2 linked regions of the Lepisosteus oculatus genome follow. The protein of the gene in region 2 interacts with the protein of the main gene of each other region in a pairwise test. Links are inferred from orthologs where the notes say so. Each region holds a gene or a part of one and is shown on either strand. Other genes may lie near its edges.

Region 1 (16,128 bases), on a different chromosome or scaffold from region 2:
AAAATTACTAACTGTTTATCTAATTGTTAGTATCCCCACCTTTCGGAATCGGGTTATAATATCGTTTTCCGTTCCCAAATGATCAACTTTGGCAAATATTAAATGTACTAATTCATATGTTTTCTTGTTTCTCCAGGTGAAGAGTGTTTTTTTTCCGCGGTAAGTTTTATTCCTACCTTACGCTAAACTATTTATATTTGTGCAAAATTGGTGTATTAAAGACGACTCGTATTTCACAGCATTTTAACACCAGAAAGGTTTTCTACTAACGTTTTCGGTTAGTTGTGCTTTTGCTGAATACAAATAGGAAATACAAAAGCGCTGGTTCTTTTTTATGGATTCTTTTATTCATAATAGGCTGAACCTACTTTCTAAATATTATAGTAGTAGGACCGGGGTGTATCTGGGATTTCTCATGTTACCTATTGTTTGCTTGTTGAATTTGAGCGTGTTTGTATGTTTCTTTATTGGGGCAGTTTTTTTTTAAAAGTTAAGACTTCAGAACTTCAAGTGAATCGTTTCTGCAAGTCCGATGTCTTGTTAACTTGATCCTTTTTCTTTTGCCTTCAGTTCTGCGGCTTCTGATTCTCTGCGCTCCGATGATCTCCTTTCCAATCCACTCCAGCAACTCGTCGTGCGTTGGCAGGTTCTTCTCGACAATGTGTGCTGCTTTTTGTTACATTTGATTTTTGTTACCAGTGGCTTGATCTGTAATGTCCCGATTCAGTGCTGTATTTTATTCTTGACCTGCATGTTTTCTGTTGACTGCTGCTATTGTATGTGCTGTGAATTCTGCAATAAAAACTCTCATTTCATTGTCTGCATTGTCCTGTATCTTCGAAGGTGCGAAGGGTTGTCTTGCGCGTGCGCCACGCACCGCAAGGCGACAACCCATCGCACTGACCTGGAAAAGTGCGAGGACGCCCGCCTTTTTAGATAGTCTGGGGGGGAATAGGGTCCCTAGGAGGGAGCGTGGGTCTAGCCCTGGGGGGAGGAGAAGGGAAGATAGCTCTAGCCAAGCCCCCTCACTCCCAGCAGGAGGGGAAGGCAGGCTGGAGATGGCCTCGGCCCGAGAGAGAGGAGGCACCCAGGGCGGACTCAGCCCATCAGTCACAGTTGCAACTGACAGCTTTCTAAGTCCACACCCCAGGAGACCTGCCTCTCTGCAGGGACCAAAGCCACCACCAACCTGCCATCCTCTCCTGCCGGGAGCGAGTGGGCCTGGCTAGAGCTGCGGTCAATCAGCCAGCCCCCGCCTACCCCTCTCCAATGAGGGGGGTGGGCGAGGCTCGGCTTGATTGCTACCAGACCCCGAGAGAAACCCCAGATACTAAGTTTTTTGGCGGGAAAATCTGGACACGCTTAAAAAGGGGGTAGCCTTTGACCTTTTCAAGTCAAAAAGCGATAGGGCGTCCCCTTGCGGCCACAAACTGTAAGCAAAATCTCTCCGCCAAAAAACTCACCAACACCGGGGTTTTTCAGGGCCAAGGGGGTACAGAACTCTGCACAAGAAATCAAAGAACAAAACCAAGGTTCAATCAACAATTTATTGAGCGAAAATGGCATACAAAACAAAGCATTACAATACGTCAGTTGCAAAAGCTTCGATGTGAAAATTAACAAGCATTTCAATTACAAAGTGTCAAAGCACGGCTACATTAAGGCTTAATGCTTTTACAAGTCAACGAAAACTTTTGCATGCAACTGCAAGGAAAAACACAGAAACACACATCACGTTACTGTTTCTCCGAGGCTTCTGTCGAGGCAGCGGCCGGAATGAAGACTAACTTCGTTGCATTTTCTGCAAAACAAAAATCAGTATTAACTTTGTAACAAACAGAATCTTTCAATTAAGTCGAAATAAATAGATCCAGCTTTTGTTTTTGCTGATATGTTCAGCAGATAAAACAATTTAAAAAGACTCACAGTTGGGATAAAGCGCTTAGCGTGGTGTAACAAAAAATGTACCAGTTCATTTTGAAGTAGTTTCATTTAAAGGTTAATTTAAAGTCTCAATACTAAATACGCAATACAGCTACAGTGTATCGATTAAAGACTCGCAGATTCTAATGTGCTTTTTTTACGATTTATGAGCAAATTGTTTTCTAAAACAACTTAGTTAACACATAATTAATCCATTTCTTGATAGTTTTCGTTGTTTTAATTGTTCTGATGTAATCTGGAAGCTAAAAATTTGAAACCAAAAAAGAGATATATTAGCAATTTTAACAGAAAATTATTTCTTTAAACAGCAGCCCTGTGTTGTCGGGTCAAAACCATTTCTGCCCCGGAGAAATCTAGTATCGCCTAGTTTGAAGTTTTTTGAGTTTGAGAAGGTACATCATGTTTTCCAACAACAATGTCCGCTTTATAAATAAAAACATTTATACTTACATCGATAATTCCAGCAGCTGAGCCAAGCTCGTCCTGCCCGAAGACACCAAACTGGAAACACAAGACATAATTATTTAGACGATTATTTAAAGATTTAAACCAAAGTTTCTGTAGCAGTCGGCGTTTTCACCAGGGTAGATAGCGCAGAAAATATTTCCAAGAGATACGTGTAACGAAATGAATAAAGCGTTTATACTTATATAAGTGCATGTCCTGCCCGAAGACACTAAACAGAAAACACAAAAAAGCAGAATTTAGAATGTAAGACCATTGAAACCAATAAGTATTCTTTGCAAGCGAATTTTTTACCACGAATATAAGAGCACAAACACACAAAATGCTCTGGAAAATAATAATAAAAAACTTTACAAATCCAGGTAAGCTATTTCGGTTTGGATAAATGCACACGCTTGATTTTGTGAACAAAGACTTAGAAATGTTATTTAGCTCCCAACGAAAATACGTGTTTTACCCCCCTTTCCCCTGCGTGGTGTAGACAACATAATTACACGAGTTAATTTTTATCTACATTAAAATGAAGGAAAAATGAAAAATAATCATAAAAGACGCGTAACAAACTCACTCAGCTCCGCTCTCTCCAGCAGAACCTGGCGCACAGGTGCGCGGGGCGTGGCCTGCGAGAGATGTCATTCGAGTGGGCGTGGCTACAGACTGACGGTGCAGGTAGCTATTTTTCTTGGCTCCACGTGAAAACTTATTAAAGATATCGAGCCTGTTTACAGAAGCCCCCATGAATTACAAATTCAAAATCATTTTTCCCATGGCCATCTGAGTAAATCACAGTTAGTGCATTTAATCCTTATTAGTCTTTGAGAGCCACAGGAATGTGAATGAAAGAATTTAGCAATATGTAGGTGAGCTGTGGGGTCTGAAGTTCTTTGCAGGACGCTTACTGTTCTATAACCTGATCTATCTGTGCTGTACTTGCTTTACTTAGAGACCAAAGTAGGGAGATCTCATTGAATTAACAGAGTACAGGAGAAGAGGAAAGAGGATGAACATAAGCAAATGCTCATGACATATCAGTCCCTCATCCTTGAGTGTCAGTGAAACGGGTGGAGAGCATAGTCTCTCAGCTGAAGCTGGCTGTAGGGGATTTGAGTTTCTCCTTTGTGATACATCGACTGAGAACACCATTCCAATCATAGCAGGCATTGACAAGTGCTCTGACATAGAAAGAGAAATATTAAGGGTTAGATATCACAAATCTGTAGATGTATAAGTATATATAAGCTATAATCAAGTCATTATCTTTCTCATTATCTTTGTTAATCTGTTTAAGTAGATTGAGCTGTTCTGAAAGGTTTAGAAAGAACACACATCTAATACTGTCCAAGAAAAAGGTATTAAAACTATGTCATAGTGTCCCTAGAAGGCTTCTGTAAGAATCTTGCATTTTGGCTCAAGCCCAGGCTGTGGTGTTTCTTTGAGCCAAAATGGCTTCTGAGCAGACAGGGATCAGGAAGCAGGTGTGCAATATTGAGTTAGACACACCTGGCCACTCCACATGAGGATTTTAGGGCTTTTGGGATAGGTTCCTACAGAATTAGCCAAGCCCCTGTAATTAATGAAGAGGCTTATAAAAGCTAAGCCTGGAGGACAACATTTAGAGGGGGATTTGAACTGAAAAGGAACTTAATTGTTATTTATTGGGAGTTGTATTGTTAATATTTTTTGTGGCTCTAAAATACTGGCATTGGTTTTGTGAGAAGAGCAAGATGTCACTGGCTTTGAAAACTCAACCAGAACACTGTTAGTGAAGCCAGCTGATCATCTTTTAGACTTGGAAGTGCAGTGAGTGATGCTGTCCAGTAGGGAGAGCTACATGTACAGAGATGTGCAAAAAGAATGTGTACCAGCTCATGGGTAAACTATAATGGGGTGAATTGAGGTTGTGGATTAAATTTACCATTGCTGAATATACAGGTAGATGTTCAGGGTAGGGTCTTGCATGTGAAAACAACCTGAGCTTTTCCATAGCTTAATGTCTTGATTTCTTTCCAGGATGTGCTATAGGTAAGGGTTAGCTAGCTGCTCTTTTGTACTTCCTCTGAAGGCAGTATAGCCTTAAGTACAGACCTGAAACCCCCTGCAAAACTGAGGCTTCAGGGGTGTGTACAATGCCTTCCATTAAACAATCTTTTGTCTTGGCAGCACACTGTTGCAGGAAAGATGGTATTCCACAAGAATCCCATTCCGAGGGACTAGGTTTGCAGGCTCTCGATGAAAGCTATATACCAGAAAGAGCCCAGTGTGTTCCTGTCTTGGATCCAGAAACCCAGCTTGACCCTGCTGCACAGCCAGTGAGGAGAGATCCCTACACTGAGATCCCAGGTAGGACATGGCTGAACTTGTTTCAGCTTTTGAAATGAGTGAAGATTAAAGATACCCTGGATAAATGCATCAGTCTAACTACCTAGTCCCTTTGTATTAAAGTGAACTTCCCTATGGCAGTATCCTCAAGTCTGGTGTGGAGGTCCTTCAATGATGGCTCATGACCTGGGTAAGACGAGGAGCTCATGTGCTCCAAGCCTGTGGAGTCCAGAGTGTGACTAGCCTGGGTAGGAATGTTGTTCAGTGTGTGTGTGTGGTGTTGGGACTTGGTCATGTCACCTGTCCTTTCCCCCCTGCTGAAAAAGAGCCCTGTTGATCAGATAGGAACAGACTAGCAGCTGAAGCTTTATAACGGGAATGGGACTTCATCTGCCACTCCAATGTGCAGCAAAGCTATTTGGTGTGTATGGTGATCCTCTGACCTGTCATGACCTTGACCCTGATCTTGTAATGGCTGTATCATGTCTGTGCAATAAAGTGGAGGTTTCACTGGAAGTCTTTGTATGCTGCCATTACTTTCTTTAAACTATTACTTGGACATCAGACACTGGTCCCACAACACCAATGCTTTAGTGCTGTGAAGATCAGTGGGAGGACAGTAATTGATAACTATGCTTTCAGTGGCATTTTTTTTTTGTTGTTGAAATTTTAAAACACTGCCATCTGCAGGAAAACTTGCTACAGTATCTTAATGTGTCAAGGGGGAGGTTGGGGATACTAGTTACGTCTTAATAGACATCTTGCACCTTGGACTAACCAAGGATTCCATTATGTAGTTCTCACACCTGTAGTACACAGATTAAATAGCCTGAGACTGTGTCCTACAGTTGCAACTATTGACAGGACCAAGGGACAACAGGCTTGGCAGTGTTGCTGTCCACAGCAACCCAGGTACTAAACTGGATTTTCTGGGTGAATTACCACCTCGGCTGTGGTTGCTGACTGCAACTGCGGAAGGCCAATTTCCTTTATCAGAGGTACAGAGACACTAAACCCACATGTTCAATTTGTGTATGCAACCTGCCCCAACTGCTAAAGAGCCTTGAGCTGTTATAGTGATGGGAATTGTGTCCGCCACAGTGTGTACATAGTTCATAATTCCAACAGTCTAGAACTCAGTGTTACTATGTTCACTGAAGCAGGAAACATTCATATTGACTAAATATGATGAGCAGAGAGGAACTTAATGTTTTTGTTTACTGCTATGAAAAGCAAAACCAACTGCTGCAAGTTAAGGGGCAAACAAAATTGCAGATATTAACCTCTAAACTTTAATCTAGTGCTTTGAATTTTCAGGGTACTGACAGAAGTTCCTGTAGATGGTCTGGCACTTACCTGAAAAGGAAGGTGCTATATCCTTTACAATAAAAGCAGCACCAAAGCTACTTTCAACAGCACAAATGAGCACAAGCCAAGGAGGTGAGTTTCATCCTGTGTGCTGCTTGTGAGGGGACAACTTCATGCTGCTGGGAGGAGCAGATCATTTTAATATTCCTCTCCCTCTCCCCAACACACCAGTGAATGCATTGCATGCAGATGACATAACCCAGCTATACCAACAAAGTGCACCCACACCACCTGTCCATACAGAAAAGGGACTTTATTACAGAGGACTTAATTTACAGGGGATGGTGGAGGAGGAAGGGGGCCGTGAAGGGTTCTCCGGGCTCAGGTCTGGTCTTGCTGCTGAGAACTGTGCTCTTTCCTCTTGTTCTGCTGCTGGATGGACAGCTCTTCGTCCAGCCGCTCCTTGGCTCGCGCCACCTGTGGACACAGACGCAGCAGCCCCGTTCATGGCCCCTGCTTCACTGAGAGTTTCAACGCAGGTCAAAAAAATAACATGAAAAAGACCACGACACTCCAGTATCACCACAGCAGATAATGCTGTACGAGATGCAACACCAAGCTCAAAATGCACTAGTTGTTAGTTTGGCCTTGTGCAGAGAGGTTTGATATCTCTTGCTCAAAGATACCCGCATCTACAGAATTTGAGAGTGACAGCACTCTCCATTTTGCAAGACCCTGTACAGTACTTGAAACGCATACTGTAGATGACTCGTACATTCCCTTGTGATCAAGCAGTTTACCCGAGACCATGAACTGCTTGTGTTGAGACAAAGACACAAAATTGGTTCTGAGATTCTCCTGCATAAGCTATTTCTCTTTAAAACTGACTGAGATGGACAACCCAGTTCCCCAAGAATCTAGACCCAAGCTTCTGTGAGCTGGACGGGACAACTACGGGGCCCAAATGTGTGAACATAAAGGAGACAGAACAAGGCATCCACAAAATACTGAAAAATCACCTTTGACTGCAGATAGAAGGACCCTCCAACTGCCTTGTCATTCACTTTAAACAGGTGCTCATAGTTCTGAGGGGAAAATGGGGAAAAAACATTAAGTTGAAGTTGAGCATGTCAGAAACGATAAGATTCTCATGAATCTTTCCTAGAAAAAAGATAATTGTCATTTGTAAATGATACAGATAACAGCAAGGAGCCTGCACCCTTGGTCCTGGCATGAGCAATGATACAGCCCGGGTGGGATGTTAGTTCATCAGGGCGGTGTTGGCGAGATTTGTTGCATTGGCGTGGTTACAATTTGCCGCTAAATAATTTCCCTTAGGGGATAATAAATCTTGAATCTCTTTGAAACCGTTCCCGGAGGCTTAAATTCCACCTCTTAACCTAATGGAGCTGATCGTGTGCTCAACAGGACCAGTTTGTCCCGTCTCAAGGTTTTCAGCAGTTGGCGATTTCAAGTGACCTAGCAGACCGACTGGCCTCGGAGGCCTGGAGGTGTGCGGGAAGGTGGGAGAGGGGGCACACCTTCTGGATCTCCTCCGGGGAGAGCTTGGAGATGTTGAGGATCTGCTGGGCTTCCTGTAGCGTCATGCCGGTGATGCTGGAGGCTGCGGCCGACTGCTGGCCTGCACTTCCCCGGGCCTCTGCCGCTGCCCTGCTAGCTACGCAGAGACACAGGCGGAGCTCGGGTTAGTACGTGAGGGGAGAGGGGGGGAGACTCTTCAACTAGGACAAGCGATCAAGCGATCAGGCCAGACACTGTTCGAATTTCACATCTGTTTAATTTTTAAAAAAGGCATCTATCTCCCAACATGACACCCTGTATTTGGAACCCAGGAATACATGCATCATTTTCACCGCGTCACTAAGTTACGCACCCAAATTAGAAAGGGCAAAGGGAAGAACTGAGGAGATGTCGAGTTATGCAGCGAAATAACTTTCACCTCTGCAGGTTTCACTTTTTCATGGCCCGGCGACGGGCTCCATGCTGCAAAAACACCAGCTCTTCTCTCACAGACGAGCTCCGTTATAGAAGCACGTTACAACGTGAGAAAGCAAAGTGCAACTACAGTAAAAGATATAGAGCCGAGTGTCTACATGATGGAACATGACACACGGTAAAATATGCAATAGAACGGGCCTGGGGGAGATACTGTAGACTGCCATAATGCTGAACAGGTTTATAAGGGGTGTCTCCGTTTCTGCCGAAGGGTCTGATTAGGGACTCACCAGCGAATTCCTGTCGCAGTGCCCGGGCAAAGGCTCTCCCCACCACCTGTGCTCCCATCACGATGATCTGAGCCAAGTACCTGGCCTGCAGGACAAGACAGAGAAGGTTGAAAGTGAGAAGCCATTCATCCCCTTTTTTTCAGCTTGGCTGCTACCAGCTTGTCCACTTAGGAGTCTGACAAAGCCTTTTCTTCCCAGGATAGCAGGGAGTTTGTTGTTCCTACAGAGCGGTAGGCATCTCCAGACCTCCTGTGATGCATTGGTTTCTGGTGCATACACAGGCAAAACGATAGCAGGAACACTAGTGTTTGTCTGCAGTTGTCTGCCTGTGCTACGGAACATTTCTGTAGACATTTTTAGGACATCCATAAATTCCAGATAACCGGGGTCAACAGGTGTTCTGTAATGCAGAACATTCACAAACACACGTCATCCCACACATATTACTATATATTATATATATTAACTATATTATAATCGTTTTTTTAAATCCTTTTAAAAATGTACAAAATCTGTCCTTGGTAGTACAAGGTCAATGGACATTAAGCAGACAGTACTGAGATATCGTCCTCAGAATGACAAGCAGTGGGTTTTATAATACTCAAAGGCCCCTTCGAGAACAACAACAACAAAAAATATATATATATAATCTTACTTAACTGCTATGCGGCAGTCTAGTTTCGTATAGCATCAGGTCAGAAATGTTGAGCTACCTCACGTGTAACACTGCAGCTTATTAGCTAATGATCCCCTCCGCTTTATCACTTCTCTGTAACAGCTATAAACCATTAAAAGCATTTACTCACCATAACATATACTTAAATCTACAGTGTAGTTCCTACTCCTCTGTCACATGTACCACCAGTCCAGAAATCATTCAAGGTCACCCGGGGTTCAGAGGTTAAGGGGCAGCAAGATACAACAAAGATGAGAAGAGAAGTAAAATGATAAAGCAGCTCAAAGCTGGAGAACACTGCCGACTAGTGGCTGGTGGTTATAACTACAGTCGTTTCTGAAGGACTAGGAGAATAAACACGTTGAGCGTGTTTTCAGTAATATTTTGAGACAATTGGACCCCAATTTGTAACGACAGCTAAAAATTGATTAAGTTAATTTTCTGTTTTTCAGACTAAAGTAGTAGGTACCCGTATAAACTATGCTGAAGGTGTCTCCTTATTCTTAAAATTGTTCTTTTTGCTTTCAAACTGTATCTTGACAATTGATCAGACAACAGATTTTGTTATCTTCAGGGCACCTGTTTTTATAGTGTCAACCACAATCGCCATCTGGTAAACGTGAAAAGTTTTCTCTAAAACGCTGTTAATGTTTTGGAAAAAAAAACAACAAATTAATCCCCATTCTCGTCATTCAAAAGAAAGCCAAACACCCACTAACACAAATTGAGATATCTAAAAGGGAAACTAAGATGCCTTCCATTCATTTTCAAATACTGTACATCGATGAGAACCATATATATACAGTTATTGCTACAGCAGCATTGGTAAGCCCAAATTCCAGAACTCACTTCAAATATTGCCGAGCATATTTCAGGTGAAGGCAAAACAAAGAGAGTCCAAACACAGAGTTTTTGTTTTACAGTTTCTGTTTTATTTGTCTACAACACTACATAAAAGACATAAAAGAACAGAAAGAGAGAAGGAAAAGAGATGCATCTTGTTGATTCCGAGTATAAAAACTGCCCAGCCTGAGAAAGAAGTGGGTTGGTTTGTCCCCAGGGCCCAGTGAGATGAGATGAACTGGACAGGGCACGGCAGGGACAGCAGTCGCTCCTGGCATAGCCTCAGTAAGAGGTGTGTGTTCCCTAAATGTGTGTGTTGCATCAAATGTTTACGCCACAGCCATCAACACCTGGCTTCTCCATTTAAAGCAATACTGTGTCCAGTAGGAGTGCGGTGTATTTGAGCAAGGAAGAGGTTGAACTGCCACCCAATCTGAGCTCACCTACATCACAAAACGTACCAACTCCAGACACTGAGTATCGGCACGCGCCAGGCGGCATCCAGATTGCAAATAAAGACAAAAGCAATAATACTGGATTGTACTGGAAAGCCTCTTTATAAAACAGTACCGTGCAGCTTGAGATGTCGATGCAGAAAACGCAGAGCGAAGCACTCTGCCTCTCAGCTTCTTTAGTTGCACAGTGCATTGCGCAATTGAGTGTTTGAGGATCAGGATCATGAGATTCCCAAGGACAAATTCTCTCTTTTGTTGAGTTTCAAGGAGTGATTTGTGCCAAGAGAAAAGCATTTCCTTTCAAAACGCCTGTTGTTAAAGACGGCCAGGTGGTCAGCAGTAAATGGTCTGTAAGGAATCGCTTGACGCCCTCAGATCACTTCACTGCTTTGGAGAAGTTCAATAAAATACTTTCCTTTGGAACCGAAGAGTTGTGGGATTAGTATGTGACAAGCCATGTAGCACCTGCATCTGCTGCTATCTGGGTACAGGCTGACTAGACTGGGCTCTCTGTGTGTGATTGACTGGGTGCTGATGCCTTTCAAGTCGTACAGCAGGTCTTAAAGCTCTGAAGACAGGCAGGCAGGGTCTTACGGTAACTGTGGGGATATAGAGAGGACCCCAGCTCTGAAGACAGGCAGGCAGGATCTCACAGTAACCATAGGGATACAGAGGGGACCCCAACTCTAAAGACAAGCAGGCAGGGTCTTACAGTAACTTTGGGGATACAGAGGGGACCCCAGCTCTAAAGACAGGCAGCCAGTGACTGTTAGAGGCAGGGTGGAGGGGGACTTGTGGGAGGGGTAGAGTCCGGAATGGCAGGCCGGGTGGGGTTCAGAGGCAGGGAGATGTGTTCAGAAACGGCACGACGATTCCCAGGCAGCTTTTTATCGCTACAGGCACCCTGACTGGTCCCAAGGATCTGGTCCCTTTAGTCATCCTGAAACACAAAACACAACATCGGATTATTTTCCCCCAGGGCACCGTGAAAGGGTCCGTACAGCCCCTGTACCTACGAGAGCGCGCCTGCGGGCCGTGAGTGTGTGTCTGTGCAGTGCTTTGTTTGTCCGGTGGCGGTCAGTGGGTGCAGTGTGTGTGGCGCCTCATGGCCTCACCCACTCATCCTCTTCCACGCCCTGGTAGGAGTCCTGGGGCAGAGGGTCCTCCCGGTTCCCCAGTTTGGCCACCATGGCGCTGAGCAGCTGCAACACAGCAAGAAACAGTCAGAAACAGGACCCCGGTCACCAGTGGCCACTGCTGGGCCCAGTTCTACATTGAGAGCTGGTAACAGTGGAATAGTGATCTCTCTGTAGGGTGGGTACTGCCTCTCAAGGGTGTGTCAGAGACGCCCGTAGCTCTGTGCAGGGCCGTGTGTGAAGTGGAGAGTGTGTGTCGGAGCTCTGTGCAGGGCCGTGTGTGAAGTGGAGAGTGTGTGTCGGAGCTCTGTGCAGAGTCGTGTGCGCGATGCTGTGGAGGCCGGCTCAGTCTACCTCCTCCTTCTTCTGTTCGTCAGTCTTCTCCTCGAGGTACACTGACGAGGGCAGGTACTTCCGCACTGGTGCCTCCTTGGGGGCCTCGCTCACTACAGAGACAGACACACGAGTCCCGATGTTCAGCACAGAGCTCTGCGCGAGCCAGCTTCCAGCTCCAGCGTTCCACACCCAAAACACAATTATTAGCCACGAGCATCCAGGTTGTCCTTCCTTATCACATTATATTGATTATTCAGTCTTGCATCCTGATTACAAAATGCATCATCTTAATTAGCTAAACCCTTTATGCACATTTGACATCGATTACTTCTTAATTAAAGCTAGAAGCTGTCACGTATAACTGATCCAACAGTTTACGTCTGGGGTTGCCAATCCCAAGCCTGGAGAGCCCCATTCAAGTAAGTCTTAAAGGCCAACCTGTAAGTTACTGATGAATTAAGCATGTGCTGTACTCAATAAAGTGCACCCTGATTCTTGAGGGCTGAAGGGCTCAGATCCTTGTTCCAAATGTTCTCTGCATTACTTAACCAATACTTAATGAATGACCATTGAAATGGATCACAGTTACAGGTACTTCAAGCCATTAGAAGTGAATGATTTAATGATTTTCGATCACATTTGCTTGTCATACAGCTCTCCAGGACCAGGACAGGAGATTCCTGACTTAGTCTAATACTGAGAGACTGATCAGAAATGGGATTATTTTCCTTATTAGTTGGACATGCAGTAGCTTGATTCATGTTAGCCTATTCCATGATGTCGAGAAGACAAGAAAATCAAGCCATCATAAGCACTTTGCAAAAATGTGCTGAAAATGCATCACATTCAAGCCATCGGAAGATGCTTTTTTGCAGTTATTGACTGGTGCAAGAATGGCCCCGATTTCAATTGAGCGCAATGAAAGAGCAGGGTATCTGACATCGCTTGGCCATGGTTCTTGCTCCAGCAGTGGCGCAGTGGCCGCGCTGTCCTACCAGGAGTCATGTCCTTGGGCCGCAGGCTGATTCTGCGGTGCTGCCCGTTAGCTCCCGAAAGCCAGGCAGAGGCCGCCAGAGCCGACTCCCACCACACCGCGGTATCAGGAAAGAGGTCATCCTGGAAGAACTCTTTCTGTGGAGCGCCGAGAGAAAGACACGGATCAAATCAGCCCACTGAACTGCAATTTTCAAAATAAAGATGACAATAGGGTGAATTAAGCCGACAGAGTAGAGTACCAAGGTGGAAATAAGACTCATAATGCACAGCACTGCATTGCACAATATTTCAGGTGCTGTGGTCTGTAGGCTTTTGTATATATTTCACTGATCCATCAGAAAATGTTAAACATGCTGTATGACTTCATATCAGCCTATCCAGGATAATCAAAATTACATAAAAACCTCATTGAAGAAGCCTTTGAATAGTTATTAATAATTTTTTTAACTGCTTTATTCAATACAGGGTCACGGGGAAGCCACAATCTCTGCAAACAACGGGCACAAGACAGGGTACAATCGGCCAATTAACCTGCCTTTGGACTGTGGGAGGAAACTGCAGCACCCAGAGGAAACCTATGCAAACCCAGGGAGAACATACAGACTCCACACAGACAGTGCCCCAGGAATCAAACCCAGGGCCCCAGCGCTGTGAGACAGCAGTGCTGACTGTGTCACTGTGCCGCCCCTGTATTAATCAGGGCAATCCTCATCAATGCATCAAGCAGTTTTTTTTCTTTTCTAGGCTGCAGTTAAATCACATTATACACGCAATGTGTGTGTCATGCATCAGTTGGAGTATATTATCAAGGCTGCCTAAGCATGGACTTTTCAATTCCACTGAAATGTAAAAATATTTTTCGAATTGATTCTTCCTTACTTGAGAGATCTTCCATAGCAGGCTCTATTAGGTAACTAAGTGGCTACAGTGGTCTTACAGTGGAGGTGAATTGAAGTGCCACGACATCCTACCCCCAGTAATGTCAGTCACAATCTCGTGTACAGCGTGCGCTAACCTTGACGCGGGGCACACGGAACGCCACGGGTTCGATAGAGGTCTTGCTGAGCCGCAGCGCCCGAGCGAACTCTACGTCAGGCACGTTACACTCCGTCTTCGGCAGGAAGACGAGGCCCTGGAAACAGGAAACAGGAAGCTGGTCAGGCGACTGACGACGACAGGGCAGAACCCTACAAGACCACTACAGATTCAAGAGCTATTCCTGAATCATTGCCAGCGACTGAAGACCAGGGGAAACCACTAGATAATGATCAATTAAAAGTCCTTAGGTCTACCCACTCCTCAAAATAATATCAACAATAATAACAACAAAAACGAGAACTCCAATAAAAGTCCGCAAGTCCCACCAGTCCAAAAGCTTCCTTTTTGCAATGAAAGTCCTAAAGAGAACATGGAGGTGGTTTGGGACAAAAATGGGGGCGCATTACACTTGACAGTTTTGCCTCTACACACTTGAGTGCCAGCAGTACACAGATGAATGAAGATCGGGTACCTTATGTGGCTCGGAAGAGTTAAAATGGCTACACTCTAGGAAATAGGGGGACTCCTGCAGGATCTCATAGATGTACACACGGGTGTCGCCCTGCGGGGAGGAAAACAAACACAGCCGCATTTATTCATGAAGGCATCAAAGGGCCGGGTTGTTTATCTGTCCGTAACACGAGAGGGGCAATTACTCTGAAACAACAGCCTTTAGAAATTCCACCTCTTTCCCTGGTCAAGGTCAGAGGAAAAGAGCAGACAGGGATGCAGGATTCATTACTGAAAAGAAAGAAATTATCTTCTAGTTCCATCAGCTAGTTTCAATAGGTTTGTGGTTTATATGGGAAATAGCAGTTTGGTCTCAATGTATTTCCTAAAACATAATGTTTTCTACACATTTTACCTAAAAACATTTCAGACTCAGGTTATGCAAGACTATGTTTCTGTAAGCTGGACACCAGTCAGAACCTGAGACCTTCACTTGACACTTATTCTTGAGCCATTTGCTGTCCTATTCTACACATTGCTTAAATCACATGAACGCATTTCTAATATAATCATATGAATATACAAGTAATAGGTTTATTCCATGCTGAAAAAAGAAGAAAGAAAACACAACCTTTCGGCTGTGGAGCCTTCTTCAGGTGTGAATATACTGTACGCATATGAAAATGAAACATATTTGTTTCCTCTAGTGTTGCTGTATGTCATTTCAACATCGCACAAACCACCTTTAGAATAAATCTTCCATCTATCAGGCATGACTGCAGCAGCAAACGTTATAGGAGTTAATGAAAAATAAGTTAACTACAGAGCATCTACACAATCAATATGACGACGCCATCAGCCTGGGACGTGGAGCGTATCCTCATGTCTCTCCACGCCAGACTTTCTCCACACTATGAGCCTGTAAGTAGTTTCCACTTATCTATATGCTTCTATAAAAAAAAAAACACACTAATTGCAAGTTGTGGATTAATCTACGGAGGTTTTACATCAAGTTTCTGTAACTCAATTGTCACATAATTCTTGCACTGTCTGGATCCTTTTCGACATTGTAATGCATTAGCTTGTTCTTCACCACGTTGATGTATATTTAATAGTAATTAGTTTTTTTAGATTCAAACGGTCTGGAAGCAATTTAATATGTATTACGTAAGTGTCTGACATAATTTGGGAAAGAGCCTGAATCCTACTTATTTGTACCTGTGGGTGTGAGCCGACTGCAGGCAGGACTCGAGATCTTCTGGAAGCTGGCTCAAGCCTATAGAGAAGCAGGCTGCCGTGTGTGCGATACAAAGGGAATCTGCATCATTAGCAGAAGTGGGTCTCAGCCCAGTCCTGACTGAGCCCAGAAAAAGCACACATGACTGTATCTCTTGCACTTGCACACACTGTGGTGAAAGGGCTCACCTTGCCGGTGAGGATGACCGTGCTGGTGTCTTCGTCATAGAAGGGGATGAGGGTGGAGGGGGACACGTCGGTGCCCACGGAAGCCACCGGTCCTGAGGCCAGGGACTCCACCGCGTAGAGGTAGATCTGGCGTTCGCTTCGGCTGCCGGGCAACAGTAACCATAGCAACTGCATCAGAACCACTAACACTAAAGAGGGACACAGTGGGCCCTTCAGCGCCACAATCACGTTCTAACATTCAGAACCTGAGACCCTCACTTGACAATGATTCACATTCACATTCAAGAGACAGTTTACTGAAACAGTTTACTAAATTATTGTATTCAGTTTTGCATCCCCATACAACAATCTTCCAGCCATTGTGCACTCAGTATGCATTCTTAGCTATGCTGTAGGAGAACAGGGTTAAGAATTTCAGTGCTCTATGCTTACTATTTACATAAAGAACATCCTGCTCAGATTAGGAAAGGGAGAGCCTGAGATTTAATCTG
Region 2 (17,049 bases):
GTTGAAGCCGTTTCACTTCAAGGAGTGGCCGAATGAGATCCTCAGCTCAGTACGATGAGCCCGATGTCCCCCGGCCGTCTGTCACCTTCCTTCTGCTCCAGTCTCAGTGTCTTGTTGCCGGTTCCAGTTCCTGCAGTTCAGGCTGGCAGAGATGGCGACCAAGCTGGTGGCCTCGCGGCTCATGGTGCGGCAGGCAGCGGCGGCCCTCCAGGAGGACCGGGATGACGCCGTGTCCCTCTGCTCCATGGCAAAGCTCTTTGCCACCGACGAGTGTTTCAGGGTGAGTTTTGGCGGCCACACCTGGCAGCGTTCGGGGAATCTGCCGAAGTCCAGTCATGTCCGCGGCACGGCACCACTGGCTAGGTTAGGTAAGGGCGGGCGATGAGCTTGCCGGGACGAAGGCCGCAGTGCGCCGAGAGCAGATTTGCTTCTGCTCCTCCGTCCGGCATGAACGCTCCTGTAAGGCGTTACAGAACCTGCAGAGTCTGGAGCGCTGCTGGGCTCTCCAGGTGAGCCTGTCAGGAGGAGGCCTGACAGGTCTCGTGCTCTACCCAGGGGGTGTAGTAGCAAGTGCTGAAGAGACTCATCAAAGGCAATGTTCTTTCAGGCCCGTGATGACTCGCATGTAGCCTTTTGACAGTGTTTCAAAGGGTATCAGGCTCCAGAAAGTCTTCACTTTTCTAGATCCCTCTCATCAAGTTTGTAGGGCAGACATAACTATCATTTTTTTTATTCGAAATCTGCTTGTCCGCACAGAAGAAAGAACAGAAAGATCAGTGGTCAGTGAGTCACCCATCGCTGTTTGTAGGTTTTACCCTGCTGGTTTAGGATCTTGCCTTTTCTCTTTCCCATCTCCACGCAGATTTGTAATCAAGCACTACAGATGCACGGAGGCTATGGCTACCTCAAGGATTATGCGGTGCAGCAGTTCGTCCGGGACATTAGAGTGCATCAGATATTAGAAGGTGCGTGAATGCAATGTGTTTGAACTGGTGTAACTGGTGTAAGCCAGAGCAGGCTTCCAGTGTGTTTAATGTGAATAACCACTTCCCTTTTGGGCGGATGTTATAATGCCTTCCTGCCTTTGGTTTTGCTTCACTGCCTTTCTAATCTTCAAGGGAACAGTTTAAATCAAGAGAAAGACTATGATGAGCAATTTTATGAAAAATGACTGCATGCAAAACCAATGATTGCTATGTGATCTTGATTTTGATCTTGATCTTGATCTTGCAGAACTTTGGACGAGACCAATTTAACTTTAGGAGAATAATATGTCTGAAAATGACATAAAGCAAAACAGAAAATTTTGGATCCCTTATTAATCCAAGAGCTTTTACGTTCTTCAAAAGGTCTATTGCGCATATCCAAATTTATCAACTGCTTACAGCACAACATTCTTTTTAAACTGCTCCTTAAGAACTTACTTTTAACCTGCTCATTTTCTTCTACTACATGTTCCAATGGTGCCAAACAATCTTTGTCTAATATTACTGTTCCTGCATCCATTTCGCTAATATGAAGAAAGCAGTGCAATAGTTGTTCATCAGGCCTGATCAGTCTGCTTTGGGTCCATGTTAAAGGATCAATTTTCTGATCCCCAACGGTTCTTTTTTTCTTTTAGGCACCAATGAAGTGATGCGTATGATTGTTTCAAGGAATCTGTTGATGGACCAATAAACCTCTGTAGCTTGAGGACACTCCCAAGGTCAAATCCAGCATGTCACCTTCAGAACTGAAAAAATGGGCACCATCTTTCATAATGCAACCTCATGCCCTCTCCTGGGTTGTGATACGTTTGTTTATGAAAGAAATTGGTATTTTGTTTTGATAGATACCTCACCATCTAAGGGTCTCTGTCTTCTTCTGCAAACAGTTTTTATCATTTAATATTTAAACAAAGCGGTTTTAGTTTTGTGTATTTCAGGTCAATACCCGACTTTATCTCAATATCTCTAATGCAGCAGATCATGAATGACAAGCAGTTTGTTTTTGTTTTCTTCATGTATTAATTGTGGGACAAATTTACAAGGTATTGCATTAGAAGGAAAAAAACAGCTTGCTATTTTGAAGGGAGCTTAACTCATTGTAGGCTAAATCATTTTAAAATATCCATGCAGCCTGAAGATAATGTTTTAAAGTTAACGCTCTCAAAAATCGCTCATGACCTTTGTGACAAAATTACTTATCTCCAGTAGACTCTTCAGGTTGTTAGAACACTTGCTCTGTCCATGATAACGGTGAAGTATTTCCATTTGACAGACATACTGTACAAAGTGCTTCCTGTAAAGTAACAAGTTGTGATATAAGAATGGTTTCACACTAAAATAAAATTTCTGATTTCAATCAACATCTCTGTTTTTAATGTCTAGGAATTTGCAGGAAGGTTTTCCTCTTCACTTAAAAGGCTTGCGGGAGTTTGAAACAACCTACCCTGCTGTGCTGTTTAGGCCTCTATCCTGGCTTTTATCAAGACACAGTAATGAAGCTACCTGCAAGCATACTAGTTTTAAAGAGTTTCTTCTCATTTCTAACTTTATGTTCTTGTGTTACTATGGCTACCACTACAGTATGTGCCTTCTCAACCGACATGTCTGGGGCAGGAGTCACCAGCCTGTAAATAAAAGGCCATGTTTGGTAAGACAAATATATTGTCACACAATATATTTCATCTGTAGTATCCCATTCATTGGTAACGACTCTCTTCAGTGGGCAAAAATAACATGTAACACACCATTGACACACTAACACGAGGAGGAGAATACTTGTTAAATGACATTTAAATTAACTTCACCCCTCTGCTTTTCTTAGTACCACCATCTTGGTCTCCTCTGTATATTGTAATTGTGTTTTTATCTTGTGTATTCTTTTTATTTTTTGTTGTTGTCATCCTGTAAAGCGCTTTGAGAATCCACCTTTAAAGGCGCTTTATAAAATAAAGTTTATTATTATTTTTATTTCCGTGGCTCCAGATTCCTACTGCAAGCCGCTGTTTCACATTTAAAATGATCTGATTCTGACCCGGTTGTCTTTTAAAAAAGTGCTCTTGAACAACAACAATAACAAAAAAACAACCTTGATGATACAAAACACATTGATTAAAAAAACAGACATACTGGTTGAAGTACATGATGAAGAAATGCATAAGGCTGCATGTAATGATTATTGGTATTGATCTGCCAGTAATTGGTTTTGTCCGAGATCCTTTATCACTTGGAGCGAAGAGAGGCTTCATACCACATTGATTATAGCAGCAGGGAAGAGTTGTAAATGTTGTGTGTGGCTCTTTAGCATGGAAAGAGCAATTGAAAACAAATGTTCACTCTGCCTGGATTCAAACCTGAATTTAAGTCAAATCAAATAAGCAGGTCTTGGAACACACCAGGGGGGAGGGTGGCAATTTACAAGCTCTGGAGCAGCGATTTTCTACAGTGCAACGGCAGTCGTTCATCAAGTGAAAAAGCCATTTAATTGAACAGCCTAAAAGAAGAAAATGGTAAATTTTGCCATTTAAACATAACACTTATCCCCCCCCCCCCACAAAACCCATCTCTTTCGGTGACGGAAACTTGAGAGGATGACGGAGAACCAAGATGCGGCTGCTTCCTTTTTTCCATTGAGCCTCTTCCTTTGCTAATTACCACGGCAACCGCTTCACGTGCAGCATTCACCAGTGCAGGCCACGTTGCCACAGCAACGAGGTCTCTCCAGCACTTCGAGTGTTCTCTGTGGTGGGTGGTGAGTGCTTACGTGTGTGTGTGAGGGGAGTGGGCTTATTAAGATAAATCAGGTCATTCATCTGTGAAGGAAGTGTGATTTACATCAGAGTCTGAAAGGTCAGGCTCTGCCGAATGCTCTCTCAATCACTTTCTGAAACAGGCTCTCCATATTCTATATGACATGCTCCAATTCCGAAATCTAATGAAATCCAGTTGTTATTCAAAAGAAGTGTTAAGACCATATTTATTATTTTAATATATCTTAACAGAAATGATTACAGTGGCCCACTGAAACAAACACCTTGATGTCAACCTTTGAATATCCAGGGAAATTGATTCTTGCTTCGTAAGCTGCATGAATAATTGATACCGGTATCCACACACATTATGAAGGTATGTTATTGTGATTAAAGGGCCATTTAGTAATCAAATCTAAATCTGTGAATCCCACTAAAACCAACAGCCAAGACACAGCGGGGGTCTCGTTTCGTCATTTTCAAAACATCGCCTTTACCTGGAAATTAAATAATTAAATATCTACACATCCTGGTTTAGTCTATTTGTTTAGAGGTAAGCTCACAATCAGTCTTTCGTTTTGAAAAAGATGACATCACACCTCACTCCTCTCTCTCTCTGCAGGTGAACTGAAAGCCTCTGAAGAGATGAAGTCATTTCTGGCTGTGAGCTCGTAGCCCAGTCCCTCCCTTCCAGCTCATCAGCCTGTTTCTCTGTCCTTCCTCTCGTTCCTCCTGGCTCCTGGCTTCCCCATGTTCCCAATGCAAACCAAGGTGCGGAGATGAATATTTCTCCCAAAACATACCAAACAAAACCAGCTGCAGGCTTGTGCTTGTGCTTTTACAGCATGAGGCCAAAGGCCAAAACAGGGCAGCACCTGGAGAAAGACACTGATATCCAGAGGTCTGTAATAGCTCAGCAAACCCAATTTACATTTTTAAGCTCTATGTTTGCTGTCCAACTGCATATTTTTCTTAAAGCTCCAGTGCCTCCCCTCTGATGTCAGCGGAGTCAAATCAAACAATTTTTTTAATGCAGTTTGCGCTGTACTGTTTACACTGCTGGATTAATAAGCACTCAGACTATCCTCATACAATAGGCAAGTGCATTTATATCCACCTAAGGGCAGTCCATTAATATACAGACATCCAGCTCTAATCAAAACAGCAATGGGTGACCGTAATTGCAGAGGTAGTTGTGATGAGGTCCTGTGTAGTTGATCAGTACATGCTCACAGCAATAATACAAGACGCATTGGGTGGGTTACATTTTCTCTTTTCATATAATTGGATAATTGTTCCTATCCAGTACATGCAAAACATATTGAATTCATTACAATATTTTACGCATTTCGTGCCTTCAGGTCAAATTGAATTGCATGCCTTAGTGTGTGCTCAGCTATCAGCATCAGAATACAGATGTAGACCTAAGACCAGCTGTGTGCCATACATTAACATAATTTGTCTTCCCTGAGACGTCAAAAATCTCAGTGTAAATACTCAGACAAATGTTCATTTGAATTCATATACAGTAATATTAGATGATTTTCAGCATTTCCCTTTCTGTATACAGGGAATACTTTATACACGTACATGTATATGTTTATCTCTGCATACTTAAATGTGTCCTTGCATTCACCCTGTTCCAGAATACTGAGGAGCAGGAAGATCTGTGTACAATATTTCAGTTCTAGGACACACTGAAGCCAGTGAAACAATTTCTTTCAGTTCAGAATTCATGAAATCGATGGTATGATGGGTGTGTAGTGCAACCAAGTTCTTAAGTTAACATAAAACAAGGTCTTCACCTTTACACACATCAGCTCAACATCTATCATCATAGAACGGGTGTTTTATGGTGGAAAATAAATCTACCTTTCAGCCTAGGTCAAAAATCCATGAATAATGTATGAATCGAAATAAGAAAAACAAGTGCTTGTTTGCTGTTCTCAATGTTACTGAGATACAACAAAGGCATAAAACCACTCCTTATTAGTGGTAAAACTGCAAGTGGAGCTACAGTCACCGAATGTCAGAGGTAAGGATAGTCTGTGATTGCACTAAAATATGCACAATTAAGAGAACACACTGTGCCATGAATCGACATACCTCACCAATAACTCAGATTACTTTAAAAACTAAAAAATTAACAGCCGATGGCTTTACTTAAAGCCCACTAATCAACTGAGTCATATGTGTTACGATGGTTCTCATATTTCTACTTTAATAGGACTTTAGATATATAATATAGTATTTTATCTAGAGAGTTACACATTTATCATGTGGCTTTTTAAATACCATTCATCCACTCATTTTCTAGCCACTCAATCCAATTACACAAGGCAGGGCACACCCTGGATGGGACGCCTGTCCATCACAGGGCACACACAGACACGCACACTCACACCAGGACCACAGTTCCCAGAAGCCAAATAATCTGCCACCATGTCTTTTGACTATAGAAGGAAACCCATGCAAACACAGGGAGAACATACAAACTCCACACAGACAGCAACCCCGGTCCAGAATTGAACCCAGGGCCCCAGTGCTGTTAGGCTGTAATGCTAACCATTGTGCTACTTTAAAAAGAGGGTGACATAGTACCTCACGATATACAATATACAATATATTTTCACCACCATGTCAAAGATTAAGTCTAGTGAAGGATTAAGCAAATCCTTCCGATCAGATGAGATCTAAATGTAAAAATAATCATTACATTTGCTAGGTTAGGGCATCTTCAGCCCATTTGCATTCATGCCACAACATGATAGGTGTGTGCTTTCTTGCCGATTTGAAAGTTTGCACAAGGGCTGAAAAGGATGAAGGGCATCCATTCATTTCTTAACATTTAGAATATCAATATCTTTTGTCTGTTTTTACATGTCACTTTGTATAACACTGGATTTCTAATCTCATTTCATCTCGGCATTGTGGCACAGCTGACTTGATTAGGGCTGACATGATCTCTGGGTGATTAGCAGTGCTGCCTTAGAGCTTTTGGTCCGGGGTTTGACAGCAGCTAGGGGCACCATCTGTATGAACCTCTCCTAGGTTCATCCTACCTACCAAATACATGCCAGCTATGATAACTGGTGTTTCTGAATTGCCCCCATGTTCCTGCAATGCACTGACATTCCATCCAGTTCAGTTCAGTGTATTGTCATGTGCACGAGTGCAATGAAATGCTTATTTGCATGTGTGCTCCAATACAAAGACATTAAAAGGAATCGCCAAAATAACAAACACAGAACAGCAGCAAAAGAAGCAACAACAAGTTAAATAACCCACAACTTAAAAACAAAACCTCAGTGTGAGCCAGTGGTAGGGGTAGAGTCCAGTAATCTGACAGCTTGTGGGAAGAAACCGGTCTCTGAGTCTGGAAGTTTGTGCCTTTATGCTCCTATAACGCTGACCATAGGGAAGGGGGGAGAAAAGTGAGAAACCAGGATGACTGTGTTTAAAGATTCTCGATCCAATGTCCACAAGCCCACAACACGAGACAGACAAAGACGTACAGACGAGGAGCAACATGCAACATGAAGACCGGTCCATTCTTGAACCTCATATTTCTAGCCTAGGTTCCACATTGCCTCAACAAGCACCAGAAATAAGTACTTTTTTGTGGGTGGTTTGAGTAGTTGGCTACACCAAAGATGCTATTGCACGATCACCAATGCTGTCGCCCAACAATCTGAACCAGAAAATGCATGTTAAAAGGAGAAAGAGAATGTAGTGTGCAGCTCATGCTATTCACATGACCGATCTGCCAATGACATTTCATTTTTTTAAGAGCTGGCTAAATCGATAGCCACTGAGAAGTGCTCTACTGGTATGCTTTTCCATTTCCAGCTTTTTTCACTTTCCAGCTGGATTGCCCGACTCCAAAGGTTTTTTGAACAAGTTTTTTTTTGGGGCAGAGTTTACCTAGCTGTCATGGGGCCAAAAGACAAGTAAACAAAGTAATGGACACAGCTGATCAAAAGTGGTTCCTGATGATGTTCTTCATTGATTGAAACATTCAACAGTAATGGGCCATTCCTAGGGAAATTATTGAGGTAGACTCCATTGGAAAGAACCACTGCATAATTACAGGAAATGAAAGGAAGAAAGGAAAGAGGAGATGGAAAGAGGAAAGAAGAGGAAGGGAGAACAAAGATCATGTCTCACCATTATCATCATCTCCAAAGATATGGCAGGGAGAGACCCTTTTTCTAAACACACCAGGAACCAGATTCTGAATAAGTAACCTGAGCATTTGTATAAGAGGACTTGCAACCTTATGTACGCCTGTATTGTGGAATCCTTAAGCTAAAAACATTTTTTCCCATTTTTGTGAAAACAGGGAAATTGGTTTCCCATTCATTTATTTTACGGAAGGCAATTGTATATGGTTCCTGGGTAGGATTAATTTTTCTTAAGATAGAGCTTCTCTCTATTTGGCCTGTTAGGGATGGAATTCTAGATGTCTGTGGGGTGTGGAGTGTATTGTGCAGTTGTTCAAGTTATTGTTTAAAAATATTCATTTTTGTTCAGCTAAAAAGAACAAACATGCCACAGAAAGCTCGAGTTATTTACTACCCACTGTTTTGTTACAGTATCTTATTGCTGAGCTGTTCTTCACTCGAACTGTGGACGGAGTCCCTTTCTGAAACCACTTCTAAATGATGTGGATGTGTTTATCAGCTTGTCTTGACGTTCAGCTATAGTGCTTATAAAGTGTTAGACAGTGAGTCAGTCCGTCAACCGTTTATTTTTAAAACTGGTCCATTGTGCTCAGCGGGGTGCCATCTGTATTTTCTGCTGTGGTTCAGTGGTTCCGTCTTGCAAACGCAAATGACCTCTACAGATGCATTCCAGAGAATTAAACAAAGGGGAAGACATTATGCCACACAGCCGTTCAATTCCAATTCCAGCTAGGAAGGTTAACGATGCTGCTCAGAACCGTTTCAAGGCCTGGCTCACTGTACAGCTACTGTACCAAGCGGCCTCACATCCGCAGCTCACTGAGTTCATGAATATTGAAAGCCCTGAGTGGTAGTGATTGGAGGGGGAGGATGCTGATCTTCTGCGTCGCCGTGGTGATGCTTCCATTGCTCCACAGCGGAGACGTCTGCTATAGGGCTGCTGTGGAGGCTGGCTGCCCACTGATTCAAAAACACCATCCTCTGCCTCTCAGGCTCAGGAGAGAGGGAGGTTTACGCTGAGAAGGGGGGCCACGGCACATTGAGGAAAGAGAACAGAAGGGGAAAAAGGAGAGAAAAAAAAGGAACACGTCGTTCCCATTGTCTTTCCTTCATTCCTGCACTGAGAGGGGGGGATGCCTTTGACTGCCTCTGCTTCGCTGGAGCTGAGATGTACAGACGCGGGCAGCGCAGCTGAGATCTGCATTGCTTAGGAGGGGCTCTTCCCCCGGCGAGAGAACGGAAAACACATCCATCGCAGGTACCGTATCCCTTCTCTCCATTCCCCTCTCTGTGCCTCCATTGTTTTTCATCCCCTCCATCCCTGCCGGTTCACTTCTGACAGCTACACAGCTCCCCTCCTTTCCTCCCTGCACTTGCAATATCCACCCGCTTATTTACCTTCTGTTTATACATACTGTTTTTGTGGCTAAAATGATTTGACCTGGGAATATTCCGAATTTAGGTGGATGTTTTGAAAGTCCTTTCATTTGTCTGTAGCGATATTTCCAAATGTCTCTCAGTAGCTTGTTAAACACTGATGTGAGTGTTCTGTGAGATTTGCTGATGACATATTGGGCTGAAAGCCTGCTTGTGGTCCATATTTAGAAAGGATGGATACGCGTGAAAGTGCTGATTGTGATGACAGCACTAATGTAGATCACGGGTAAGCTTAAAATGCACTAAACTGAACACAGATTTATATTAGTTCTGTATTCAGGGCCACAAACATGGACATGACTGTGGTATTTACTACTAATAAATATCAGATAATGTAATAATCTGATTAAACTAAAATTAAACTGTTGTGATTGTTGTTCATTTTTAATTAAATGACCACGATATAAATATTGATAGAATTGGAGGCATTTGTCTGTTCTTTGATGTATTTTGTCTTCATTTAAAACGGGGGCAGTTATTCCTTAACCATTTCCCTGCATGCTCCCCATTCTGGGCTGGTCTCGGCGCTGAGGGGGAGACCGAGCAGGGAGTAGAGGGTTAGAAGGTGATGATGAAACACACAACAGGCCCAGGTGAAGGTTAAATGGTTTTCCCTGGAATGCCAGCACACCCCAGATCCCAGATTTGCATGTCTCTGCCGAGATTAACAAAAGGAGGTGGATTTGTTTTCTTCGTCTGGCTCTGGCACCACGAATACCGTCTCCTTCATCTGATCCTTTTTAACGGCACCTCGTCAGAAGGCTTCACACATCCCTCTTGTCCTCCATGCTCGACAGCAGTGGTTCGCTTTCACGGCACAAAAACTTTTTTGTTGTCCTCATTGATATGAAACCCATTTTTTTGCACTTTCTCAGCGAACGAAAAATAGCTTGTTAAAACCACTGCAATGCAAGATTGCTTCACGAAGGACATACAGAATTTTCTTTCCCTAGCCAATTACAGTAAAATAGTCCTCGCTATTTGGAAAGATATTTTTTCCATAGTCCCTGACTAATTTAGAGCCTCATGATTTGCTCTGAGGAATGCTCTTCCGTTTAATAGCCTTGTCAGATCCATTTGGCCTGAAATCTGCCTCAATGAGAGGGAGAAAGAGACACAGATTTCATTTCATGTCAATAATGAGTACTTATTTTGTAAGATACTCTCACAAAATCTTCAGAAAGGATTTTCCTTATTTTATTTTTTTCCCCCTTCAGAGCCTGAGAGGCAATCTATAGGAGTTAACAAATTTAAATGTAACGGGGCAAACTTGTTATTACTTTATTGTTTAACCATTATTAAGGCTGTCATTGAAACAACCTCTTGGAACATCTATTGAATAGTATGAGGAGTTGTTTAAGCAATTCGAGTTCATATGGTTAAAATAAACAAGTCCTGGAATATTCCATCTGCTGTTATTTTTCTATCAGTCCTTTTGTGCTCTGTTGATGTTCAAATGAAAATTGTGGGGTTCAAAACCAGCATTGGAAAACTGCATATTGCTAAACTTAACAACATATAAAGGTAGTAGACAAGTCAGCAACTTTAGGCTCTCAGTCTCTCCAGGAATATGACCTCTACAGACCTCATAAAATCCAGCACTCTGTACCTCACTGTGTAAAATAGCTTTACAACATCAAGTAATGGGTTTCATCCCTTGATTTATGGCCAAGTAAGGCTGTTTTCCAGGCTTCTCAGTACATACAGTAGCAATGATTTTCTCATTAAAGTAACATTAATAATATAAAGAAATCCAAAAACACATTTTTTTATTTTTTAGTTCATTTACTCTGTATTCCACAATGTGTATACGAACTTTGTCAGGTCATGGATCTGTTGTATAATCTCACGATCTCTCTGGCTTCTCCTGGCCATACATTTAAATTGTGAAATACCTCCTTTGTTTTTTTTATTTTCCTTCAATCTGATTTATATATTGTTACTTCAGCACTTCAGAGTAGACGTCAGTGATGTGCATTTGACAGAACAAAAGCCCCTACTTTGAATTGTGTTGTATTGTATCTGCAAAGCTGTGAGTACTGTTACATGTGAAGGAACAACATTCCCTCCAGGGACTACTCTGCATCTGGCATTGAACAAAAAGTAAGCAGTAGGCATCCTTTCTAAAGATCTTGGCATCAAAATGCATGGTATCCCTACAGCTGGTGAATTGTACAGGACAGAAGTCTGACTATTGACAAATATCTTACAGGAATCATAATCAAACAGACCATCAGATTCCCCAACACAAAGAGTGAAGATAGCAGGATATTGAAAAGGTAACAAAAAATCCAGACATTGGGGAGAACTGTGTTTTAGGATAAGGACAATTGAAGTTTTGTTTTAATTGTGCTCGTTAAAACACTCTGTTAGGTTTTAAGTTTTAAGTTACTACAGACCTTCAAATGTTGCCTTTTGCTCTTGGGTAAAAATGTACCAGGTACCTTTTCACAATACACAGAATAGGTAAAAAACAGCTGAAAGCAAATGGACTCCAGAAGGAAAAACACCGGTGAACGTATTTGGGAAAGGAAGACCAGATGAGAATACTTTTGATTCTGTAAAAGGTCTTCAAGAATTAAGCATACACACTTACTGATAATGTGAAAATAATTACAGTCCTCATCAGTTCGCTTGCCAAGTACTCATATGATTACCATGTGGACCAACAAAAGAGCTTGTAATATCTCATTAGGGGAGATCAGATTCATCATTACATTATGTGGCTACATTTCTGATTCCCTCAATTATCTTAGAACTTTTTTAATGAGTTCCTTGGTATTAACAATAGGCTGGATCCCTGGAGCAGAGACATTGACAGGACTGTCTCATTCCTATTTTCACATTATTGCTAAAAATATATCTGTATGAATGAGTGATTACACCGATAGACTAAAATATGTGGAAGTGCTTTAGTTCTTGCTTGATCAGCAATTTATCTCCAGGACACCTCTCTCCAGTATGATACTCTAATGCTTTATTTTCCTAGCAGAAAAAGAATTACGCTTCTGAAACAAGTTTTACATACCTTATGAGCACGATTAAAACCTAAAAACCGGGGGATGTAAGAAGTCTTGCTGCATAAGATCGATGAGGTAAAAACAGGGTGATAACGAAGGTGACAGATTTTGGCTCCCAGCGGGCCAGTGGAGGAAAAAATTAAATGGAAAGCTTGCTGTAAGTGGGCGTTCCACACAAACTTTTCTCATTTTGTACTCCCTTGTACTCTAATGAGCACACCATAGGATGGTGGGATGAGAACAGGGACTGTAGGAGGGTTTTAAAGATATCTATGAGCAAACCAGTTAAATAAAATGCTTTTGGGACAAAATCATCTTTAAGAGTTTATTAAGGTTCCAGCACAAGCTTGGAATTCTTGAGCTTTCTCTCATATATACACCACAAATGTCTCCCCCCCCCATAGGCGTGTGTGTACGGGATCTGCCCAGCCAGGGAGTCAGGAAAGATGGAAGCCCCCTTGGTGTGCCTCGATGAAGACTTTGAGGACCTGAGACCCTGCCAGGTGGAGAAGAGGAGCCAGCTCCCCCCGCGCCCCGCCGGGACCGCCCCCCTGGCGCGGGAGGAGTTCTCCGAGCTGGAGAACTTCTCCGAGATGATGAGCTTCAAGTCCATGGAGGACCTGGTGAACGAGTTCGATGAGAAGCTCAACGTTTGCTTCCGCAACTACAACACCAAGACCGAGGGCCTGGCCCCCGTGCGCAGCCAGACGCACATCGAGGAGGAGGAGGAGCTGCTCCAGGACGAGGAGTGAGTGTCGAACTCATACGGGGGGGGTGCAGGGGTATCCAGCTTAAGAGCTTGACTGAACCAGGACACCGTGTACGAAACGATCTGGGGTGCTTATTTGGACTCTTCCGGGTTTTTTATCCAGACGGTGTGGGAAAGCGGTAAAGAAAGCAAGTGGGATGCTTGGGTGTGTAGCAGAAAGTGGGGAGTACAAATCAAGGAAAAGGGTGCTCAAGCTCTGCGATACTTCAGTAAGAGCTTGTTTGGGATACTGTGCTGGATTTGTGTCACGAAACGACATAAAGGCGATCGTAGCCTTTGAAAACATTGAAAAGGGATCAAGAATGGCTCCCAGTCTCACACTGTAGGTTAAAGGCACTTAATCTCTTCGGTTCACACGCTCCCTGTGCGTGGAGTTTGCATGTTCTCCCCCAGTCACATTGGTTTATCTCTAGGTGCCTCGGTTTCCTTCCGCCAATGAATCAAGTCGGCATGGTTTCTGTAAGGAGTCTCTCAATTGTCCTCGTGTGTCCGTGCGTGTAAGCCGTGGTAGACTCCGACCTCGGCCATCTTGATCCCTGTTCCACCATGATAGGTTCTGGGTTATGGTCAGCCTTGCCAGCGGTAAGCGGCTTACTGGTAATGGTCGGGTGGATTAATAAAATAGTAGCAACATCAGAATACGGTGAAGAACACACTAAATACTTGCCTCGTCAACATGGAGTTATGCACCAGTTTTCAAGACCTTGAGCCACCAGAGCAACATAAAAGTGTAAAAAATCTGTGCACAGTAATTTTCTGAGATTTTCTTCGAATTCAGTTCTCTGTGTTTCAGTTCTCTCCCTCTCTCATCCCTGGCTGTGTCCTGCTGATTATACAGTAAGCCACCACTTCAGCAAAGGTGAAAAAGTCCTGAGTCAAATTTCTTATCATCTAATAATAGCTCTTTGTGTTAAAAATAACACTGCTGTAGTGGCTTGAGGGTATTGTAATTCTAATCAATGCATATCCCTTTTGAAGCAGGTCAAACATGGCCTCAGTATTGATGACATTCCAAACCTTATTTATATGTGGAATTCATAAGCCAAAACCACAGGGTGTCTAAACAGATCCTGGACTACAGTTTATTTTCTGGCTGAACTGCCAGTTCAAGGGAGGAAACATTAAAATACAAAACATACAAGCACAACCTGTTAATCCGTCTGATTTGTGCTTTAATTCAGGGTGTGAGCGATTAGCTTGATATCATGTGGAAAAATGCTGGCTGAGTTACTCTGAGACTGAGTGTTAAAGATCGCTCAATTTGACTAATTGACCAGCATGAAAAAATTAACTGGAATCTGAGAATTTATGGTACAGGTAGAAAAATCCTAAGGATTGATGATTTGTGCCTACAGTTCTATGCCTTGTCCAGTCCAGTTTTCCCATGTCTAAAGGGTAGAAACCACCTTTGAGTCCTCTTGCCACCCACACTAGTTTTAAGCTAGCACCATAACCCTCTCACAGCACATGGGCTATAGTCTTCAATCTGCACCTAGTTTTCACTTTTTACAATCCGAGCCCATGTGTTTGTAGCAGAGCCTTCACAGCCCATCGAAAGGTGAAGGTTTTTAAGAAAAAAAAACAAACCTCCTTGAAGGAGCAGATTGAAGGAGGATTTGGTTTACAGAACGTTAGGTTCCCATTTCACAAAGACCACCCCGCACTGGGAGTCAGCCTGGCTTTTAGAGCTTTAGACTAACTTCTCAACTTTGTCTCGGCCTGAAATGTTTTGATGGGGAGTGAGCGCTCTTCCATCTCCTTTCTGTCCTGCGTTCTGCTCTTCAGACTCTTGGGTCTGTCAGATGGTAAGCGAGCACACTGATGGAAAGCGATGGTACGAGCGAGCGCCAGTCATCTGAGAGAAGAAGAGGGAGAGAGCGCTCACAAACAAGAGAGGCTAACAGTTGAGAAAGTGCTAAAGAACAGACAGTTGTTCTCTTTAGTGCTTGGCAGTGCCACTAAATGGGATGGGACTGGAAAAACAAAAGGTTTTTCTCCCTCTCTCTGTCCATATTCAAGTATGGATCTCACTGAGAGAGGCATGCAGCTTTCAGAACAAGGGCAACAGAGTACTTAAAGACGCATCAAGTGAAGATGGGGGCGTACACAACTTCATTGAGGTAGATCTGTATTTTACAGAGAAGCTAGTTTTAACAGTGACTGACTATATTGTGTTTTTTTTCCTCAGATGTATGTGTATCAATATTTTATGGAACACTTTGTTATAAATAATGGGCGTTCTACTGTACATGGTGTTGTGTCCTTTCCCAAACTGAGGTATAACTGTACTTTACAGAATAATTTGTTTTAATAATTTTGACTTGAGTTCCAGAGTGTTTTGATCCACCTTTACAATATGTTCAGAACGCTTTTTTTCTGAACACTTTTTGTACATCGCTTACTTTTACTCTTAGTTTTGTGAACTAAGAATTAAAATGAGAAAATATGCTGCTGTTCTTTACCGGTATATTTTCTGACTAGCAGTAATGTTTTGTGTATACTTAAAAAATTATAAAAAAACCCAGTTCAATATCAAATATTGCCCGTTTTCTTTCCAGGTGCATGAATTATTTCTCTGCCAGTTTGATAAAACCTGATATCGTATCACTGGAATTTAAATAGAGAATTTTAGGACATAAATAGTTGCATTTTTTACTAACCAAATACAATGTATAAAGGATGGATGTCTACTTAAAATGGCATTGAAATGGCAAAAATAGACTACTGGAACCTATAGCACCGGTTGCATTTTAATGCCTTTCAATGTATAAAGATTGTTTTTTTTAACAAAATAGCCGACTTTGTTATTCATTTCATCATCTAGCTGCCTTTTTCGATATGATGCCATGCCAAAAGCAGAATCCCAGCTTGGCTGCAGTGAGGGGAGTGGTTAGCACACATCACAGCCGAAGCGTTCACGCCGAGGACTCAGGCCAGCCTCTCTCTGCCTTTCCTGTTCAAGACTTCCGGCTGATTTGGCAAGGAAGCCAGGCAACCCACTGCGCCTTACAAGGGCAGCCCCTGCTGCAAGAGCTGCGTGCATTTTGTTCCTCTCTGTTGCGCAACAGTCCCACAGGGCTCAAGGATGTGTCTGGGGGGGGGGGATTCGCACACAAGAAACCAGCTCAAAGTCGCTGCAGAAAACCTAAATTCTTCTCTTATGTCTTCTGCTCGCCGTGTGTGCAGGGTCTGGGATGCTCTGACTGACAACTACGCGTCTTCTACGAGCTCCAGCTGGGACGACCAGAATACAGAGGGGCTCAACGGCAATCTCTCTGACCAGGAGGTACGCTCTCTCTTCGGTGACAGTCACAGCCCTCTGTCGCTTTTAGGAAACGAAACCTGGAGGCACAGGGTCAAACTGGGTTCTTCTTGGTGTTAGCATCCTCGGGAATTTATTGACCAAATGCTAGAATCCAGAGAGTCATACACAACCTCATTTTGAGCAATAAAAGCGCACTGAGTAGAGAGAGACAATGAAGCTAATTTGACAAAATAACCAATTGAACCTGCACAAGGTACTGAAAGAGTGATGAACTGTCACAGAGAAACTAAGCAAAAGGCGAACATTGTGACTTAAAAGTACTGGTTAGGGGACCAAGGAAAAACAGAGTCAGATGATGTTGATGGGTCTAATAGCCTCTTCCCAGCTGTAGTCACTCTGATAATTGACCCATACTGGGTGTAGAACAATATTTTACTCGCTGCTTTACAAAAACTCCAGCGTACTGAGTTGTACACTTAACGTGTAGAAAGTACATCATCGAGTACATCATTGAGTTGCCGATTAAAGGCAACAGTAAAACAAGTAAGTCTTTAAATGTGATTTAGAAAGATCCACTTTTGCAGTCTCTGAAGAATCTGAGCACTGAATTCACAACCTAGGGAAATCTTTGAGCTTTGAGC

What was found.
Region 1: the proteins of fez1 (region 2) and pam16 interact in a two-hybrid assay, tested with the Homo sapiens proteins (2 studies listed by BioGRID and IntAct). The link is inferred for Lepisosteus oculatus from reciprocal best matches to the Homo sapiens genes FEZ1 and PAM16.

Annotation. Positions count from the first base shown.
Region 1 is NC_090714.1:3,927,110-3,943,237, reverse strand, and holds pam16 (mitochondrial import inner membrane translocase subunit tim16), read right to left. Parts: upstream 9,184-16,128; 5' UTR 9,092-9,183; coding exon 9,089-9,091; intron 8,368-9,088; coding exon 8,283-8,367; intron 7,715-8,282; coding exon 7,578-7,714; intron 7,122-7,577; coding exon 7,056-7,121; intron 6,514-7,055; coding exon 6,418-6,513; 3' UTR 6,331-6,417; downstream 1-6,330. Other genes in the region: coro7 (coronin-7), read right to left, coding at 11,188-11,196, 11,372-11,458, 11,747-11,838, 12,724-12,859, 13,740-13,856, 14,235-14,324, 15,638-15,779. UniProt on the Homo sapiens protein: Regulates ATP-dependent protein translocation into the mitochondrial matrix. Inhibits DNAJC19 stimulation of HSPA9/Mortalin ATPase activity.
Region 2 is NC_090718.1:7,804,159-7,821,207, reverse strand, and holds the start of fez1 (fasciculation and elongation protein zeta-1), read left to right. Parts: upstream 1-8,831; 5' UTR 8,832-9,175; intron 9,176-11,566; 5' UTR 11,567-11,633; intron 11,634-12,778; 5' UTR 12,779-12,820; coding exon 12,821-13,122; intron 13,123-16,329; coding exon 16,330-16,429; intron 16,430-17,049. Other genes in the region: acad8 (isobutyryl-CoA dehydrogenase, mitochondrial), read left to right, coding at 128-280, 863-965, 1,622-1,677. UniProt on the Homo sapiens protein: May be involved in axonal outgrowth as component of the network of molecules that regulate cellular morphology and axon guidance machinery.